2 linked regions of the Sus scrofa genome follow. The protein of the gene in region 1 purifies or fractionates together with the protein of each later gene. This does not show direct contact. Links are inferred from orthologs where the notes say so. Each region holds a gene or a part of one and is shown on either strand. Other genes may lie near its edges.

Region 1 (3,029 bases):
AACAAAATCCTTCTTATCATAACTAAACCAAATTTCCTTTTCTTTCTTTTATTTTTGCTTCTTAGGGTATGGAGGTTCCCGGTCTTGGGGTCGAGTTGGAGCTACAGCTGCCAACCTACACCACAGCCACAGCAATAAGAGATCCAAGCTGCGTCTGCAACCTACACAACAGCTCATGGTAATGCTGGATCCTTTAACCTACTGAGCAAGGCCAGGGATCTAACCCGCATCCTCATGGATACTAGTTGGATTCTTAACCTGCTGAGCCACAGTGGGAACTCCAGTTTCCTACTCTGTCATTTAATGGAGAAACTGCCCCTTGCAATTACAACTGACTTTTTGCTTGGTTTTTTAAAATTCCGGTGAATTGGTAACATGTATAATTTTTAGATAACTCACATATATCTATACACACACAAAAATAACCAAAGCAAAGGGCTACTGGTTTAGTTACCTTTCCCGTGTTAGTTCTGGTTTTGGGAAGTTAAGAGAAAACCCTTTGGTTTAGTCACAGAGGGGCTAAGTAGGCAATGGGAAACCGCTGCTGAAGAGAGTAGATACTCAATAAATGTATGTTATACCAAATGTATATTATATTAAATGTATAAAATGTGTATTATATATATGCATATTATACTAAATAATGTATGCTGTGGATCCAGGGAAGAGATACACAGGTAAAAAAAGAATTCATGCTTTTTTTGGTTGTCCAAAATGTTTTATTTTTTTGGAATAGTTATATTTAAGCTTTTGTTGCTATCCACACTGTGGCCTTTAATAAGAGCTTGAGCCACTTTGGGGTTCTAGCTCCGATAGAATCATCATCCCTTCACTCTTCGAATTCCCTTTCCCTTGTCACTTTGTGTGGTTTGTACAGTGAGAGGACCCTGGAAAAGAACACTTCCTGTGAACTTGAGAGACTAGCTGAGCCGTGCCCAGATCAGCAGGAGCAGGCAGGTGAAACTAGCTGGAGAGCAGGTATATGCTGGCCTCCTGGGCCAAGGTACGGCTGGGAGAGTGTCTGAAGGGTCCTGCTGACTCACCAGCAGAAAGAAGGGTGGTGCAGGTTGAACAGGGCGAGGTAGCACGGTCCACAGGACTGTGTAGACTGTGGTCAGTGGGCCAGTAGAGAACATTCGTGGATTAAACACCTAGCTGACTATTTCCCAGAAATGGTCTAGGTTCTAAAAGACAAAGATTTAAGTTTCTTGATTTTTTTTTTTGTAAGTCACTTGAATCTTACGGTTTCCAATGAAAGCAAATGGCTATTGGTAATGCAGAGAAGATTGCTGAACTGCACCTGTGTATTTAAGACTTTTAAATGAAATTCTGAGTTACCTTACCTTATAAAAATACATGTCAGTATACTAAATACTCAACAAAGATCTAGGATGGGGATATTTAAAAATACATTTCTCTTGGGTCAGCACCAAAAATATCATTAGTTTTCTGTACAACCTGTGACAAGTTTTTCAGTATAGGTAAGTTAAAATGATGTGATAAAAAGCACAAACTCCACGGAAATCATTAGAGGATAGATCCAAACAACTTTCTAATATATGTTGACGTCAAGGTCAGGCAGTCCACTTGGAAGGGTGGGATCTTGAGTACCACGGAATCACTGTCTTAAGACATTGGACGGCAACCTTGTGTTATGGGGATACTTCACATCTCACACAAAAGGAGGCACTGGGACGTAGAAACTTAAGAAAGTTCTTAGAACCGTTAAGACTGAGGTGAAGAATTTGTGCAGCCTTCCACGATTTCAAAGAGGTAGTGATGGATACTCGTCCTCCTGGCGATGTCAAACGCCGTTTCTTCCAGGTTGTTCTTCAGCCCCGGTTTGATGTAGCGGTTCATCAGGAGGAGTTCCAGGGTGTCTTTGCTGTCTCTGTTTCCAGCCGCAAGATGTAAGGGGGTCAAGAGGCCTTTTGTTTGGGCGTTGATGTCCGCGTCGTGCTGCAGTAAGAAAGAAGCCACTCTGGTGTTGTTCCACTTACACGCACTGTGCAGGGGTGTCCAGCCGTCCACCGTCACGGCATGAACGTCTGCCCCGTTCGCGATGAGCTCGCGGACCACGTCCAAGTGGCCGCTGTAGGCTGCTCGATGGAGTGGCGTGTACTCGTCTTCATCTCGAGTGTTCACGTGGGTGGCCTTTTCTGAAAGCAGTCTCCGCACAGTGCTAAGCTGAGAGGGAAGTGAGAGCTCTTTTAAACACCCAACGCAAAACGCAACGCGAGACCAAGAAAATTCAAGTGTCTAGTGGTGTTAGGTTGAGTTAAGTTAGCTAGAAACTTCCTTGGTAGTAGACGACTGCAAAAGAAAAATCACATTTTTCTTTGGGAGGTGGGGTAGAGGGCAACTAACCATAACAAGTTAGTATTCACCAGAAACTGCTGATTCTGAGCACGGGATTCTCTGAATACCAAACCAGACACTTACTCCTGGTCCAAGGAAGTCTTATTGCACAAAAGCTGTGGTCCTGGACGAATAATACAGGCTAGAGTTATATTTAACGTTTTATATTTCATCTGTGATGAAGACATAATAATGGAACAGACGGATCTTTTGTAGTAAGGTTATCAAAACAATATACTTTCACAAAGTATAAAACCTGAAAAAATAAACTTTCATCAGTAGAATGCCATGGTAACAAGGAAATCTAGAGATTAAGAAGCTCGATTCCTTCTAACTAAAACAACCTGAGACACATGTTTTCTGGGAGTGGCTTTACGTTTGGTTTGAGGACCTCTGGTGGGATGCAGTCTGCTCTTGGGTTAAAAAGTTACCCCCAAATGCAAGATTTCTTAGGTATTAGTTTATTAACACAGACATGGAGGAGCTGAGTTAAACAAGGTAGAAGTGGCCAAGTGGGAAGAATAGATTTTTGATATTAAGATCATCCTACTTGGATGACTCTGGGTAAATTAATATTCCCAAATCTCAACTTCTTCATCTGTAAAAGGGAAAAATAGTGCCTATCTCATAGGAAAAAAAAAAAAAAAAAAAAAAAAAAAAAAAAAAAAAAA
Region 2 (3,227 bases), on another chromosome or scaffold:
GCGTGCCTCAGGGGCACAATATGCCACAGCCCCCTCCCCTCCCCGAGGCCTCACTCCGCACACCCCAGTCCTCCGGGCTCAGCAAGTTGTCGGTGAAAAAACGCGTCGGGTCCGCAATCTCGCTGAGGAGCATCAGCTCCGCCATCTTTCCCCCCCACCCCCCAACCACGAGACAGTTCCCAAGGCCCGCCTCTCCCATCATCAACTAATCGGCTGGCTCCTCAAAAGTGGGGGAACGCCCCGGAAGCTCTCCCAACCAGTAAGAGACCTGGGTATTGAGCACGTGAGACAATATAGGCGGTGGCTGTATAGGACCGGCCAATAGGAGCGCCCCGGAGGCTAGCACCTCCGCAATACCAGGCAGTGAAGTTTGCGCGTGCGCCAAGCCGGACCCAGCCTGAAAGCGCCTAGGAAACGTAGGTACCGGGTTTTGAAGGTTCGCCGTCTCCCCCAAACAGTACTGAATTTAGAAGTTTAGATAGCTTGTGTTCATCTTTGGAGATAGATAAGCCCCGCAAAATATACCACACGTGACCATAAGGCTTTTTCATGGTAAAACGGTAAAGAGGTACATACACTAAGACCACTGCTACCTTCCCTAGGAAGGCAAAAGCTGGTAAAAGTATGTGGGTGAAATCCTCCCACTGGCCCCTCCCCCCAAAACTCACAACATAGACCACAATTCACAGGTTCCTGTCTCTTTTAAGGTTTAACTTTTAATTAGCCAAACATCTTGCGCAGTCCCTGAGCCAGTCCTGCATCTTGTTTCTTCCCTTGAATGATCACCTTTCCCAGCTCCTCCTGGGCTGCCCGATTTTTGGGGTCTACTGCCAGCACTTTCTTGAGGTCAGCAGTTGCTTTGTCCAGGTTCCCAAGAGCAGCCTGGGCAACCCCCCTTCGGTACAAGGCCTTTAAATGGCCAGGCTCCCGCTCCAGCACCCGGTCACAGCTCTGGGCTGCCAAATGGGGCTGCCCTAGCAGCAACTGACAGGCAGCCAGATTGGCATGAAGGACAGTTCGTTCTGGAGAGCCAGGTGGAGGTAAAGTCAGCAGCAGCCGAAGAGCCCGTCCATAGCATCGGGCAGCCCCTTCAGGGTTCCCAGCTCTAAATAATTCTGTGCCCCGTGCACGTTCTTCCCTGGCCAGGGCCTCCTTTTCGGTGGGCTCTAGCTCCCAGGAGTCCCGGCCTTGAGTGAAGGAGGCCAGTTTGAGCCTGACAGGAGGTCCAGAGCGCCCAGGGAGCTGAAGTTCTGCCTCCTCACCTTGACACATGGACTCCAAGCACTTCTCTACAAGCTCTCCCCAAGTTTCCTCCCTCCATGGGCCTAACCCCATAGTTAGCTCTGTCCAGCCCTCTGGCAGCCCTGACCCCAAAGGAAATCCCAAAACCTGTACCCGGCAGCGGGAGCCCAGCTTGGGTTTGTCCAAGCCGTGGCCATGGATTAGGATCTTTTTGACAAAGCTCCCATCGGGGCAGTACCAGAGTTCAGAAGCTTGAAGGGGCTCTGGCATCTCACTGGCTGGTCCATGAGATTTATCAGAATCTCCTTCACGTCCAACGGCCAGCTTTTCAATTTCTTGAAGATTTTCTAGAATTTGGCCGGCTGGATCTGGGCTCACTCTCCCCTCAAGAAGTTCAGTAGAAGGGTCTTGGGGCTGCTGCCTAATCTGAGTAGTTGAATCAAGGATCTTCTGGGAGTTCTTTTTCCATCGTTGTTGCGGTTGAGAAATGTTCTTCTCTCCCAGTGGACTGACTGGTGGCGTCTCCATTTGGGTACCCAGTCCCTTCCACCGTGGGTAAACAGTTTTGGTCAGAAAGGTATGGATCAGATTCAGATCAGCACCTGATTAAAAAAGAAAAAAAAATCAAAACAATGCTATTGGCAGGAATCTTATTTAGACTTCTTTTCTGTCCTTCTGGGATCCAGGCCTCCGGTCCTTAAAGTTCTCTCTTTTTTTTCCCCCCTCCTCAAAATCTCTGTCGGATTCGAGCCTACCTCCCAACCCCGAACTAATTCGAACTATAAGTTCCACAATTCCCGCGGCTTGAGCCACTGTCCCAACTACGGATACCCGAGCGAGTCAAAAAGTACCTGGGCGGCCGAAGTGCCTCTCCTGGTGGCGGTAGCCCGACCATTCGAATCACCTCTCCTTCCGAAGCTAAGCTCTACTGAGCACTGTCATTAGAGTTTTGCTTCGGGCGGAGAGGACGGTCAGGGGGAGCAGGGGACAGCTGAGGAGAGACACTAACGGCTAACCCTGGAGCCCGCGTGAAAGCGAATCTACTCAAGTTCCCGGCAACCAATCGGGAGGAGGGAGAGGTCTGGTTAGCCCGCCTTCTGGACGTGACATCATTTCCCTCCCCTCCCCCAGCAACCGGGAAGCTCCAGGCCTTAGCAACCGAACTAGGCCAAATCGAACTGAACTAGGCGAGGTCGAGCTAGCCTGGCTATTGAGAGTTAAAGTCTGGAGAAGGCCTGGAGTGGGAGATTGGGGCGAATGAGGATAGGGTGGGGAATGGTGGAGCTGGTGGTGAATGATAGCGGTAGCGACGAGGGCCCGCATGGCGACTTCAGGCCCACCTGTGCTATTCATATTGCTGGTCTCAAGGCTCCCAGCCAATCAACCTGTCTGCTCCTTCACGCATTCAATCCAGGGTGCTAACAAATAAACTCTATTTCTCCCCAGCCTGTCCTATTCCCTTGGGGAACTACCTGAGGCTTGCCTTACCTTTCCCCTCTTGTTCATCAATGCCTTTAGAAGTCTTCTTCCTCAAGAAATCTTAGTGGTTTTCAAACTTCGATGTGCATACACATCCTCTGAGGAACTTGTTAAATGGCGCCTTCTGAATTAGGAAGTCTAAGATGGGGCCTGCAATTCTGCATTTCTAACAGGCTCTTTGTTGCTGCTGCTCTTGGTCCCACCCCACTTTGAATAACATGATTCTGGAATAACTTCATCCCATTCTCTTCACCCTTTGGTCTGTGCCCCTTTAGTTTGTCTTATATTTTACATATATAACTGGTATAACCTGCTCCACTGGAAGTGTCAGTGGAAAACCGGTCCTCCTCTTCCTAGTGAAAGGTGCTGGTCCCTCTGTGGTTCAGCCTTGCTTGCCCAGCTCCCTGCACAGGCTGGGCCACCACAGTTCTGGAAAGGAGAACCCCACTCTCAGTTCCTCATTTTGGCTCCCTCTCCAGTCTGCTCTGTAACACCCCACCATTGTG

Evidence for each region.
Region 2: the proteins of ANKRD49 (region 1) and FKBPL purify together in Homo sapiens (affinity purification with mass spectrometry; 4 studies listed by BioGRID and IntAct, counting the BioPlex papers as one, with this or other methods). This does not show direct contact. The link is inferred for Sus scrofa from reciprocal best matches to the Homo sapiens genes ANKRD49 and FKBPL.

Annotation. Positions count from the first base shown.
Region 1 is NC_010451.4:26,640,188-26,643,216, reverse strand, and holds the end of ANKRD49 (ankyrin repeat domain-containing protein 49), read right to left. Parts: intron 2,188-3,029; coding exon 1,726-2,187; 3' UTR 697-1,725; downstream 1-696. UniProt on the Homo sapiens protein: Induces HBG1 expression. May have a role in spermatogenesis where it promotes autophagy in response to serum starvation, via the NF-kappaB pathway.
Region 2 is NC_010449.5:24,171,541-24,174,767, forward strand, and holds FKBPL (FK506-binding protein-like), read right to left. Parts: upstream 1,771-3,227; coding exon 721-1,770; downstream 1-720. Other genes in the region: ATF6B (cyclic AMP-dependent transcription factor ATF-6 beta), read right to left, coding at 64-202. UniProt on the Homo sapiens protein: May be involved in response to X-ray. Regulates p21 protein stability by binding to Hsp90 and p21.